Struthio camelus: one gene and its partner. The protein of the gene in region 2 interacts with the protein of the main gene of each other region in a biochemical or structural test. Links are inferred from orthologs where the notes say so. Each region holds a gene or a part of one and is shown on either strand. Other genes may lie near its edges.

What was found.
Region 1: of the proteins of MAPK1 (region 2) and DUSP3, one has a biochemical effect on the other in vitro, tested with the Homo sapiens proteins (2 studies listed by BioGRID and IntAct). The link is inferred for Struthio camelus from reciprocal best matches to the Homo sapiens genes MAPK1 and DUSP3.

What each region holds. Positions count from the first base shown.
Region 1 is NC_090966.1:8,197,468-8,204,628, forward strand, and holds the start of DUSP3 (dual specificity protein phosphatase 3), read right to left. Parts: upstream 3,023-7,161; 5' UTR 2,935-3,022; coding exon 2,813-2,934; intron 1-2,812. Other genes in the region: ras-related protein Rab-18-B, read left to right, coding at 3,169-3,233, 3,307-3,362, 3,877-3,944, 6,171-6,243. UniProt on the Homo sapiens protein: Shows activity both for tyrosine-protein phosphate and serine-protein phosphate, but displays a strong preference toward phosphotyrosines. Specifically dephosphorylates and inactivates ERK1 and ERK2.
Region 2 is NC_090958.1:10,423,903-10,430,843, reverse strand, and holds the start of MAPK1 (mitogen-activated protein kinase 1), read right to left. Parts: upstream 3,081-6,941; 5' UTR 2,776-3,080; coding exon 2,633-2,775; intron 1-2,632. UniProt on the Homo sapiens protein: Serine/threonine kinase which acts as an essential component of the MAP kinase signal transduction pathway. MAPK1/ERK2 and MAPK3/ERK1 are the 2 MAPKs which play an important role in the MAPK/ERK cascade.

The sequences.
Region 1 (7,161 bases), on a different chromosome or scaffold from region 2:
GCACTGCCGGCTGCTACACAGGGAGCTGTATTTAGACAGGGAATAATTTCCGATCTTAGTCTTTCTTATTTCAAGCTATGCTGTCCAGAGGTCAAACTGCTTATTTTCACTCAACGCACATTCCCACCAGGAAGAGCAACATGCTTTACAACATAACCTAAAGAATAATTGAATGCATAAAAAAGTTAAAGTGATTTATAACAAATGACAGATGTACCAGGTGGAGCATGATCTGCTGGAGTGGGTCACTGTTCATTTAATATCCATGCAGCTGCTCACTCTTCAGTCACTTTGGGGAGGTGAGTGCTAGTCAGACACATACTGTACCAAGACAGCTTCAAATTCAAGATAGACTCCAAGCTCTGTGCAAATGCTAGAGCAGAACAAGACAGGCTAACGAACTGCAAATACAGGGCCCAATCATGGCTGTGGCTTATTTCTTGCACAGAGTAGTAACATGCATTGTACACTCTTGGACCCACATATGCCCAAAGGCTGGGAGGCCGTGTGTGAAAAAGATTCTCACTTCTTCAGTAGTTTGTAGTGGAAGGAGTCGAGTCGGAGAAACAGATCTCCTGTCTTTAGCCTTAACTTAACGTGAGGAGAACGCAAAAGAGGGACAAACAGCTGGAAAAGACATGTGAACAGACCTGCACAGTTTCAAATTCTTTCAGAATGACAACTAATATACCAAGTGCTAGTTACACTAGAGTAAACCACACCTCCATCTAGGACAAAAATCCTATTTAAGATTAGTCTTATTTCCAGCTTGAGACTATCAAAGTTCAGCCTTCAGCGACTGAATCTTAATACATAGTCATCTGTTCAGCTAGAGCTCTTTATTTTCTTAACTCTCTGTGGATGCTTCAACAATATTATTGCCTACTAAGTCTTGATAAATTAAGTATGTTGTCAGTTTGCCATTGTGAAACAGCTTTTTCAGTCCACAAAATTATTTTTTATCTCCAGATGTTCTCCCAAATTTTTCAGCATCTTTTCAAAAGCGCTAACAGCAGAATCAGACTTTGTTTAATGTGCCCCTAGACCAACTATCAGCTAAGCTGTTCTTTTGCCCCAAACTTCATTAGCGCTTAAGATTTTTTCGATTGACAGTTATTGGATAAAAAGCCCTTCTCGGAGGTAAAGCTTTCCAGTAAATCGTTTTCATCCTGCAACTTACACATGCATTCTCTGTTCCTAGACAACCTTGCTTCTGACTGTACTAAAATCCAAACTGTTTAATTAAAACCAATTACTGAACAACGAAAACCACTTTGCAGTACTAAACTACCATCAAAATTATTTTTAACTGCACAAATCACCTATTTACAGACCTTGTAGGCTTTGATTTTATTTCTTCCAGGTAACTGCTAAAAATATCGAGGAGAAGGTGGCTGTCAAAAGTCAGCTTGGGCATCGAGATAATAATTTTGGTCCTATCTCTAGATGAGCATGACCTGCATCAACCAGTAGTGACAAAGGTCGAGTTTGGTTTGGTACAGAAGTTAACGAAAACCCATGGGTTTGACTTGCATTTCATTAGTAATTACAAGCTCCAAATGAGCTCAAGGATCCACTACACTACACACATTGCAAATAGACAGTGCCAAATTTCAGAGAGAACGTGTACAGAGATGCAGAAGGGGAAACTGAATCAGCAAGAGATAATAGGAATGGAACGCATAACTGAAGTCATAATCTTGGTGCAACAAATAGAATAGTTGGGGTTGGCAGGGACCTCTGGAGATCATCGGGTCCAACTCCCCTGCTCAAGCAGGGTCACATAGAGTGGGTTGCCCAGGACTGTGTCCAGTTGGATTTTGAAAATCTCCAAGAACGGAGACTCCACAACCTCTCTGGGCAGCCTGTTCCAGTGTTCAACCACCCTTAGAGTGAAAAAGTGTTTTTTTATGTTCAAACAAAATACATCTGAGAAAGAAAAGGGGTAGTGCTGAACCTTGAACATAACGGCTTTTATCACAGCCATATTTGTATCCCTCTGGCTCCCATCATGTGCATGACTATTTAATTAGTATGATGTTTTGCAGGGCACAGAGTGCACAGATTCATTTGACCAATCGCTGATAGGGGCAGATGACTCCTGTTCAAGTCTTGCTTCCTTCAAGTAGTTTTGCACATGGTTAAACTGAGCTCTAATATCCCTGTTGCTGCTATGCTTACCCCCCTTGCTCCAGCTTCTTCCACTCTCCTAACATACGTTTATTACAGAAGTGCTGCGGCGTGACTTCAGCAGATGATGCTGTACATACACCTCACAGCATCTTGTCTCTACTCCCTTTCTGTGTGGATAACCAACAGTGCTGACCACCGCTAATTAGCAGGCGCAGGAAATATTAAGGGGGAGGAAAAAATAAAAAAGCCCAGTGCTAACACAACTGAGATGTGTTTCATGCTTAGTCTGGGGAGCAAGTTAATTTGTTCTGACCTTATTTCAGTTCTGTTTTGAGCAGGACAAAAGGCTAGCGAGCGTTCTGGCAGGCGCCGCTGAGGAGCGGCGCTCTGCGCTGCGCTGCGCTGTGCCGTGCCGCCCGCCGACAGAAGCCTCCCGCCCCGCCGGCCAGGCCGCGGCCGCCGCCCCCAGCCCGGCCCGGCGGCTGCCCAGGGCCGCGCAGGCCCAGCAGGCCCGGCGTCCCGCCCGCTGCCGGGCCTCCTCCGGCTCAAACGCCCGCACAGGAGGCTGCTCCCCAGACAGCCCTGCGCGGCCTCGCCCCCCCCTGCTCCGAGCTCTGCGCTCACGCACCCGCCGCCGGCCTCGCCCACCGCCCGGCCCGGCCCGGCGCGGCGCACTCACGCGTTCCCCACGTGGATGCGCGGCACCACCTCGTTGCTGTGCGCGCTCGGCAGGCTGTAGCAGCCGCTGCCGTTAGCCAGGAGGTCGTTCAGCTCCTCCACCGAGATCCGATAGTCGGACATGGCCGGGCCCGCTCCCTGCCGGCCAGGCGCAGGGCCCCGCGGCGCCGCAGCTCGGGCCGGGCCCGCCCCGCCCCGCCCCGCCCCGCCGGGCACCGGCCGCCTCCCGGCGGGCGGAGTCGCGTCAGCTGGTTCCGCCGCCGGCGCCAGGAAGCGGCAGTTTCCCCACGGCCGCGCGGCGCTTCTGGTTGCCCCGATCCGCCCGAGCCGGCGGGCTGCACGCTCGCCCCGCGGGGCATGGACTCGGCGGGCCTCACCCTGAAGCTGCTCCTGGTCGGAGACAGCGCTGTGGGGAAGTCCAGGTGCGGCGGCGGCGCGGGGCGCGCGGGCGGGGCGCGCCCGGCGCCGGGCTGACTTCTCGCTCTTCCCCCGCAGCCTCCTGCTCAGGTTCACCGACGGCTCCTTTGAGCCGTGCCTGAAGCCCACTATCGGTGAGTGCGGCCGCCCGGCCCCGAGCGAGGGGCGTTGCGGCTGCTGCTTGCTTGGGTTCCGCCGACGAGAGAGCAGCGGAGCGGGGAGCTGGGCTCGGGCCAGTGCTTGGCGGGAGCGGGCTGCGTGCGGAGGAGCGGGCGGGCGTGGGCGCCGCGAGCGGGAGGGCGGGCGCCGTGAGGGGGAGCGGGCTGCGTGAGGGGGAGCGCGGGCGCCGTGAGGGGGAGGGCGGGCGCCGTGAGGGGGAGGGCGGGCGCCGTGAGGGGGAGGGCGCGCGCCGGGCGCCGTGAGGGGGAGGGCGGGTGTGGGCCGGGTGAGGGGGAGCGGGCTGCGTGAGGGAGAGAGCGGGCGCCGGGCGCCGTGAGGGGGAGCGGGCGGGTGTGGGCCGGGTGAGGGGGAGCGGGCGGGCGGCGGGCGCCGTGAGGGGGAGGGCGGGTGCCGTGAGGGGAGCGGGCGGTGGGTGTCCGGGTGGTCCCTCGACATTCTCGTCGTGATATTCTTTCCCTTGTTCTCGAGTCATAGGTGTCGATTTTAAAGTGAAGAGAATGGTGGTAGATGGCCGTGCAGTACAGCTTGCAATATGGGTAGGTTTTGTTCTGGACAGAAAAGGAAATCTCAAGAACGTGGGATGTTTTTTGTTTTTTTTTCTCCCTTTTTAAACAAGTCTTCTGCATATGCTTATGGTTCGAACATGCATAGGGTGGGTGTCTTCCATGATTATACAGCAGGAATGGACAAAGTTCTTTCAAAAAATTCGTGAATGTTGTGGTTTGAGGACTTCCCTGAATTCTAGCAGAGATCCTGCTCGTTCCTGCAGTTACGCATCTGGGTTTCTGAAATCCTCTGTGAGGTCTTAGGCTTGAGGAGATGTGGCCTTGCGAGAAGGGCAGGTCTTTCGTATGACCCAGAAGCGTTCCCAAGACAGACAACGCACATGTTGAGGAAATAACAGAGGAAAAAGGCACAAAGGAGAGAGATTTTGAGAACTGAGTTGCGTGATCTCCTTCAGAGGCTGTGTAGCCAATTTTATGTGTGCCAAACCAGAAACCCTCTAGATATTTTGGTTAAAATGAAGGAAACAGAAATGTATTTTATGATCTATTGAAGGGCCAAATTTTCCAGAAGACTTGAGTATTTGCCCTCAATTTCCGGGTACTATGTTATAGCACCTGGAGATTGGAAACCAGACTGCAGCTGTGTATCCAGGATTATTTAAAATAGTATTAAAGCCCTCACTCTACACCGTAGCAGAAGTACCTCCATTACAACTATGGATATAGTCCTATTCTAAAATACCTGCAGTATTTCTTTTATCTTTAAATGGCATATTTATTAAAACAGATTGGAGAGAGGAGAACACACTAAAATGGAAAATGTACAGAGAAAGCACTCAAACTATAGAGAGGATTGTGGGGAGGAATGGGACTAGGAGACTTCCTTCAATTCTCCCAAAGGGACTGAAAGAGACTGAGCCCCAGAAGGAGTTTTATGCATGTGGTCATGGGTATCTGAGAAAGAATATGCTATTCTGAAGTCGGTAATTGGATTATTGGAAAGAAGGCACAAATGTGTCTTAGGTTGGTATTAATGCAGGCAATATAAATGCCAAGACTTATATTATTTTGTTATTTTCAGTCTTACACTTTGAGTACAGAATGCAGAGCAAGAATGATAAAGTCACAGTTGCTGTAGTTAGCATACATATTGCTTGTATTCTGAGCAAGCTGCACGCAAAGCAGAAGCTCTGTTGAGAGTAATAAATAAGTATTTGGTCTAATAATCACACAGGGGTGTGTCGTCTTGCTATGAAATGAAAAGCAAGGCCAGAACCTGCCCAAGTTGAATAGCTGGAAAAGGCGCTTTTGCTGTAGTGTGTAACAGCTTCAGGAGATAGTGCTAATTAGTGCAATTGCACTATTTTTTTTAATCCTATGTTAAATAAAAACTTAAATGCATATACAGAGTGTCAAAGAGAGGCTTCTACTTTATTATTCTAGTGTGTGTGGGTACCTAAGAGTACAGTCTGCTTAGTAAGGATGATGTGAATTAAGGATGTGTATTTCCAATTCTGTGCTTTTAACAAAAAGACTAAACCATTTCTTTCTTCTATCTACTGTAAGCTGTACATATATTTAAATAAAGAGAGAATTTTTTGTAAAAATGATCTTTGTGCAATTCCTTTGCCTCCTTCTTGTTCATTCTGGGGAATTTTGAATTTCACATTGTACTCTAGGAGCTATTTAGAAGCTTCATGAGAGTGAATATGGCATGCTGTAGTACTGATTGAACAAAATTACTGATTTTAAATTTCTCATCTGCTTGACATCTCAGCAGCCTTGAAATAGTTCTTACTAACTAGGCTCTCCTTTCCTGCTGTGGATGAGCAATGGGAGGTTTTAGAATCTCTATATTTCTCCTTTCTTGCAGTGTCTGTCACTGGGAAAACCCTGATTCCTCACCTCTTTCAGTTCAGCTGACTGTTAAACTGACTAAATGCAGCTTCTTAGCTTGCAGCAAGAGTCTCTGACATATGTTTCTTGAGTCGCATTGACTTTCCTCATCTTACTCATGGTACAGATGTCTGTGCTTATCACTTCATCTTTTAATGAAGTCTTCTCCACTCTTTTCTACCCCTTTTATCCATTTTCTGTTGTGCTGCAGCTAATGTTTTCTGGCTGCTTCCCTCATTCTGTTGTCTTATGCTGTTACATGTCGTTATTAGTCAGAAAAATGCTAATTTTGTTTAGCTTATGTCATGTAATTTAAATTACCTTTTTTTTTTCTAAACACCTTTGGTTTTTCCCCTGTAGGACACAGCAGGACAAGAGCGCTTTAGAACGCTGACTCCCAGTTATTACCGAGGAGCTCAAGGGGTTGTTCTAGGTAGGAGGTATATGGAAGAGAAACATGGTTACAAAAAAATTGTGAAGTCCTTATTACTAAGTAAATGTAAGTTTCTTCTCAAAGGAGATGGAGAGAATCAAAGGAACAGATATTATGTTTTTTACAACACTTCTACGTCACTAGCTCAAACATTAAGTGTGCAGAATTTATTGGCAGGACATAGTGCGTCTTCAAACTATTTTAAATTAAAAAATATGTAGCTGTCACACTACAAACCATTGAGTAGATGAATTATCACCTTTATTCTAATTACTTTGGCGAGTTTCTGATCATAAGCCAAATTGGTTTTCAAGTTTGGATTTTTTCCCTATTTTTACTTTTTTTTTTTTTTCCAGAAACATTATTGATGTGATTCCTATGAAACATGAAGTTTGTAGCACAAATAATGAATGGCTAGTCCCATTCTGTCCAACAATCTCAATTATTTAAAAAAAAAAAAATCTTATTCTCCAGGGACAGTAAAGACTAAAAAATTTGCTGTACAAAATGTTCTTTCTGACCCTGATGCAGCCTGCAGCTTTATTTAACCTTAGTGATTACCTGAATGCAGTTATGAAGTTACCAGTGACCAAAAGTTACTTTTTACTGACATTTGGAATCTACTGTTTTTAACACTAGTGCATACATGTATATATGCTTTAAATGAGAAGACAGAATAATTATTTCAAAACAATTTGTGGCCCTGTTCAGATCTAGCAACATGTATAAGATCTCAGCTATTAAGCTGGTTTTCCCATCACAGATGTGTCACACAGATGCTCATGTTCTGTAATCCCTAGTGACTTCAGGTGAGCGTAGCTGATGTGTTCCAGCTCTGGGAAGACCATATGGTTGATGCATCTATTTGTGGTTCCTTAATACTGCTTTTCATTTGAGGCAATAGTTAAAGTATTAGGA
Region 2 (6,941 bases):
AGGTTTTTTAAGAGTTAAGTCACTTGTTTTCCATATAACAAGCCTTATGGCAGAAGGCACTTAAAAATAACTAGATCCTCTGAAGTTGCATGCATTAGCTGGGGGTCTAAAAAACCAAAAACATCAGAGCTTGCTTTGTTTTCCTTCATTAAAGTGTACAGATTTAAATGGATTTTGCAGCTGCAGGGAATATCTCCATCTTTACTCTCATAGCTTGCCCTCTAATCACCTCACAAGGGAGAGGCTTCTGCAGATCCTCACTGCATTAACAATCAAAGCAAGACATGAAACATTTAGTATTAATCTACATAACCTATACCTCCATTGATTAATAAGTAATCTTATTTAATCGTAGCAGCTCATCTGCTGTGCACTACAAAACATTACATTTGCTATGGCATTTAGCTAGAACATGTGCAATCCAATACTTACCAAGTATACAATACAAACTGAGACTTTGTTCCCTGTCATTTCACACCCAAGGCAGAAGAGCAATGATTAATTAACAGCTCAACATATCAAATCTAGTATTTCACATGAATAACTTTAGAGGGAAAAAACTCAGGAGCCAAATGTGTATGTCTCTATTTTTGTTAATAACTGTGTACAGCAATCATACTAGAGAAAAAAAAAAAAAGAAAGAAAAAAAAAGCGAAAAAATATAAGAAAATCCACAACACTAGAATGAGCTATTAAATAAAAAATAACATTACATAGCCAGTCTTGGAGATAGAACTTAATAAAATATTAAGTAATAGAACTTAATGACACACCATTGGATGGGGGGGAAGGGGCCATATTTTCCCTATATCTGCTCACCAACCTAGTGATGCCGAAAAAGGGCATCAACTGCCAACATACTGCTTCTTGTAATCTTTGATCATTGGTGAAACATTTTAGCTTTAACACAACATCTGTGTTACCATTTTTAACATCCCATTGATATGAGCGGGACTATACACACATCTTGGAAGTACTATTCCAAATCAGACTGCATGCGTAAACCAGCGCAGTCAATAATGAGATTATGTGCACTGGCTTAGTTGTCCCAGCACAGATGATTTGCACCACAGTAAAATATGGTTTGTACCATAAGCTACATTAATGTCAGTTTTAGAGTGGATATATTGCTGTGATCTATAACACTAAAATGATAACAGGGGTATTTTTACACCATAAACAGGATTTTTGATTTTCATTTTGAAGGTTCTTCCCCCAGCTAAAAAAGTGAAGGCCACAATTCAAAACTTAAATACAGGCATATCTCCCAGCTAAATTCAGGCCTAAATGAAAGCTTCCATTCTGAAATACAAGATGACTTCATTTTAATAAGCCAGCACAATCCATCACAGCTGTAAAATCTGTAACATACACTTGGATGTTGTGAAGAGCCTTCACCGATAAGTGTACTAGTTTATACTATAAAAGATTAAACATCAGAGAGAGACATTATCGCTAATATAGCTTTCACCAAGTCATAACCTGTAAACTTCATTTAGTACTTCTGGTCAAATCTGAACATGAAACAGAAGCAGCATTGGAAAAAAGTTGATAAAATAACAAAAAATAGTTTTATTTTTGAAACAAGGGATTCAAATTAAGTCACTTTATCCTGTTTTGCTAATGGTAAAAAACAGAATAAGAATTGTAACTAAGGTCACAAAGTACGTCAGTTTTATAACCCAGTCACTAGGTATACCACCTCAGAGCATCATCTTGACTCAGCCCACCACATGCAGGCTGCTAAAAGAAAACCCATCTCACACTCTAAATCCAGGTAGCTTACATTTTAGGCATTTTATAGTTCACTGGTTAGGTTTTTAAGAGTGATACTAACCAAAGCAAATGTGTACTACTGCTTTCTAGTGAGGCTTACCACCAGTCTTCATGATATAAAATAATCAAGAACTGGAAGAGCTGAAGAGAACTTTCATCTCTCATATATGTTAATTTAGACAATAATCTGGCAGGCTGTGCAACAGTCAACAAACACATCCAAAGAAAAGGCAGATAGGGACAGCAATTCGTATACACAGATTCACTTTTTCTGTTTATCAACCATGACCCTAGGAACATGCAGCACAGGCACAAAGGAAAAAACAGAGCTGTTAGCATGATGTTATGACCTTCTCCCCTTTTTCAGTGTCTATAATATAACTGTAAGGAGAGAAAAAAGAAAGGGAAAAAGCAACTTGAGAAGCAGGAGGAAAAAAAAATTAAAAATAACGAGCACACGACAGAAAGGAAACGAGACGCGTAGCTGCACCCCACGGTGCAGGAATTTTGGCGGGGGGGGGGGCGGGAAGAGGCGACGGCAGCCGAGGGTTGGCGGCCGGGGAGGGGACGGGCGATGCCGGAGGGACAACCTCGGCAGCGCGAAGGGGAAAGCGGGGATGAGGAAAGAGGCAAGGATGCTGGAGGCCTAGCTTCCCCTCCCCCGAGGGCCAGGCACGGGCCGCTGCCCCCCGCAAGGGCGGGACGCAGCCCGCGGCCGAGCCCCCGGGGAGGCTGCGGCCGGGCAGGGCGGCGGGGCGGAGGGAGGAAGGCAGGCAGGCAGGGAGGGAGGCAGGCAGGGAGGGAGCTGTGCAGGGCAAGGGCGCTGGCCCGGCGGGGCGCGGCGGCCGGCACTCACCACACCATGCCGTAGGCCCCCTCGCCGATGTAGGAGAGGTTGGTGTAGCGCGGCCCCACGTCGAACACTTGGCCCCGCACCATCTCCGGGCCCCCGGCGTTGGCAGCGCCACCCGCAGCCCCGGCCCCCGACACCGCCGCCATGTTGTCCGTGCCGGGAACCGCGGTGACTGCGTGCGGGGGGGGGGGGGGGGGGCGGGGGGAAGGAAGGCGGGGTGAGGAGGAAAGAGGGGGGCGAGGAAAGAGATGCGGGGAGGGGGGGGTGGAGGGAAGTAAAAGAGGCGTCGCCGGCTCCGCCGCGCTCCGGAGCACCGGCCGCCGGCTCCGAGCCCCCGTCAGCGCCGCCGCCGCTGTGAGGAGACGCTGCCGGGCGCGCGCGCGCACCCACAGCGCCCGGGGGGAGGGGAGGGGAGGGGAGGAGGGAGGGGGAGCTCGCGCGCGCGCGGGGGTGGGGCGGGGCCAGGAGGCGCCCCGGGGGGGCGGGGCAGGAGGAGGGGCGGGGCCCAGGCACTGCGGTAACGGCCGCCGCCGCAGCCGCGGGGGGAGGGGCGGGGTCACGTGGTGGGCGTGCCGGCTCTGCGGGAGCCGCGCGGCCGCCCGGCGCCATTAGAGGCGTCAGGTGGCGGCGGCGGCCCGGGAAATGGCACCCGGCCGCCCTCGGACGGGGCCGGCTGGGCCGGGCCGGGTCCGCGGGGCGCCCCGTTGAGGCCCAGGCTCGGCGGCGCCCGGGCTGTCGGGGCGAGCCGAGGGCCGTCAGCGCCGGGCCGGGCCGGCGGCCTCGCTGCTGGCTGACGGACGGCCCGGAGGAAACGCGGGGCGGAAGCCTGGGGCCGAGGCCTGCGCTCCCTGCGGCCCTTGCAGCCGGGCTCTGTTTTCTTCAGCTCCCTGTGACAACGCTGCCCCCCGCGCAGCAGTCAGCTGCGGGCGGAGAGGGGGTTTCTCTTGCGTTTAAGGTGCTGATCTGAGGCCCAACAGGCCCTGCTCTGTCCTTGGCTCTGCCGCAAGCCCCTGATGTCACGCAGGGCAAGGTTAACATCCTGCCAGAGAGCTGGGTTACTGGAGGGAGGGCAAGTTTATTTCTAACGCTTTCTGACTTTTCAGGGCTTAGTTTTGCAACCTCTAATTAGCATATGGTTTTTACATGCAATTATATTTTCCCATTACTTGTTTCCCCTATGAATGTAAATAAACTCGAGGTTTTGAGCAGGAGGTGAAGATTTAATTTGTTATAGTTTGTATCATGCCATGATTGTCGCTTGCAACAATATCCATTTTTCCTGTTTTCCTGCAAGGCTCCCTCTTCCTGCCATGTTCTTTAGGTTCACCAAAAACATCAAGAGTCTTTGCTTCTGAATTTTTTTCTGCAATTCTGTAAACACTATACTTACATTCCATGTTTTTTTAAGGCAAAAAATTGTACTTGCTACTTAATTTTTCACTATTATTGGCATGGTTTTAGATAGTCTCTCCTGTTCCTTTGAAAATGCATTAATCACATACAGATCTCCATATATCTCATCACACTAGTGTGTCCATGTTCATGCCCATCCTACCCTGTCGAAAGACCCCAATGTGAAATCAGCTCATTACCCCTGACTCATGCTTTTCTTAAAAGTCGCTGTTAATTTTGTGTTCTTCTTTAACCAGAAGGTGTTACGTGCCGATCAAGTTCCTGTCAGGGTCTCACTGGTTGTGCTCTGCCCTCTTTCTTCTCTCAACGTTTCTCGCAGCTCTGCCGCTGCTCTCTCTAGACTTCTGTTGACATTTCTACTGCCGACCGTGCTGCTTCATGTCTCTCTCTCTGCCTTCGGGGTGTGCGATCCCCGTCTTGCTTCTCCCCACTGCCCGAGTCCAGCTGCAAGTCGGACTGCCAGAGGCTCTTTTCTTGCATCCCACCTTCTGTCACTCCTTGCTGCAAACCAGCTTCCATCACCATGACCAAACAATTGCAGTCTTCTGTAGCTGGTTACAAATATTGTACAACCTCCTGATTACGACTTATTAGCATCCCCCAAAGCTTCGGCAGAAGTCAAAAGGAAAGAGTTATCAGTTTAAACTGAGCAGTGGCTTAGCCTAGCTGCAGCCTAAGGACTCTCCTTTGGCATGGACCTACCCAGCAGGCTTCAGGGTTTCAGATGCAGCCCCAGCATGTTTGGTGGAGTGAAAGCTATCCTGGATGACCAACGTAATCTAATGAAAAAAAAAAAATCCATCTTCTATTTATCACACATTAAATCATATGGCTTGGTTTTTGTGTATCGATGTGGGATAGTTAAAATTACTTGTTATGGCTTTATTTTTCCTTGTATATAATACTCTTTCCTTTCCATAATGTGCTTTTTTTTTCACTTTGGAAACCCACATTATTTTTCTGAGAAATTGCAGACAGCAGTAGAGGTGAATAAATGTTTAAATTTTCTGAAACTGTGTAAGTAAAATATGATTTTAAAGGTTCTTCTCTTAACTCTAAAAATGAAATTATGCTTACAGTTCTGATTACATACATAAATAAATGTCATCAGCAAAGGCAAAACAAATGATTATAGAGAAGCTAGCTTAAACACAACCTGTCATAGCAAAATTTAATTAAAAACTGGTGTATATCTAGATTATTTTCCACCTTCACCAGGATGTGTCAGATCAAAAAGGAAACCAACCAGCAGACCAGGAAATTGTGGAAAGACTGTCAACTGCTTTGAGTGCTGTGTTCAAATATATGTCTAATCCAATTAAACCCAAATAAGCGGTCAAAAGGCTATGGCATGCTTTGCCAACAGTTCCTCTTGTGACAGAACCTAGTTGTATGTAGTTCCAGGTAGCAATACAGTTGTTGAGTTAGACAGACCAGATAGAAATGGTAGCAACTGCTTTTCAGCCTTTATAAATACACAGCTATTACCTACACTTTATGCTGGGTCTTTCCCTCACACGGTGACAAGGTGACATTACAGCCTTGGTTCTGCAAGGAATGTAAATATGTTTTAAGCACATGATTAGTTCCATGATCAGAATAAAGGGTTATGTTGTGGGGAGAGGTGATACTTACTGTAAAATGATTGCAGATAACAAAAAGCAGGTGAAAAAAATGTCTCCATGCCTCAAGCAGAAATAAAACCACTGCTAAGAAGAGCTGTCCAAACAGAAGTGCAGTATCTTCAGTTTGAAAGCTGTATGAGGAACCAGCCAAGCTATAAAATAGGTCAGTTTACATGTGCGACAGTTTGGACTATCTATCTCCATCATGATATCAAGTTCAGGAGTCACTTGGATGAGTTCATTGTACAGTTAGGGTCTAGAGATTCTCTGTACTGTTACAAATATCTACTTTAACTGTTAACTTTGTGGTCTGTAAATAGTTCTCTTGAAAAGTAAATGTCATGCTATGAAAGACCCTATGAGTCCTGGAAACAGCGTGATCAGATATAGGCAAAGAACAGGAATGATACGTAGGTGCCCTAGAGCGTCACTCTTTCCTGAGGGTGGGAGGGTTTTCCATTTTTTTTGTGCTGATTTAGAACTAAAGCTACCTCTCCTAAAACCATCATCACTGCAATCGTCACGCTGTTTGTGTAGGGGCAGTCCAGACAGCGCTTTCGTGGTCCCTGCTGTCGGGTTATGGCATTCACTTTCCGAGAGCCTCGGAATGACCCTGAACCCTCTCATCCTCCAAAGAAAATGCAAATATTATGTGTGTAAAACGATTTTCCCAGCATTATTTAAAAAGACCTCAAGCCTCTGTGTGGGGGTGAAGACAGAGAGAGAGACGTAAGACATGGAAGATGTTGTATAAAGACATATTTTAACTTCTGTGTCACTCAGGAACCATGGTGATGAACGTGACAAAAACTTAAATTACTTAGATATGAGAGCTCTGATCCACAGGGAACCATCCTAAGACTGATAAAGAGCATCAGATACTAATAACTCGTAGTCACTACCGACCTGGGCTTGATTTAACTGGTGACATACAGCTAAAATCCCTTGTGACTGATTTTCATTTAAATGTTGGCCACTGCTTTGACAGTGTAAAGTGACCTCAGTACAAATGAGAATCTCTCTGTAATCTTATGCTGTTGGGAAGTTAAAAACATCCTCCTGTTGGAGGTACGGGAGGGAAAAAAGGCGATTAGGGCATTATTCAGTCTTTCACAGGTAGTTAACAAAACAAGGCCCAAATCACTGGTCAGTTGATGACAAAGCTAACTTACAGGGTTTTTCCCAGTGTTTCCCCCTCCCTTTCCCCCCATCCAGCATTCTGACTAACTTTGCAGGAAGCTTACAATGGCTTTCTTATACATTTTGGAGTTACA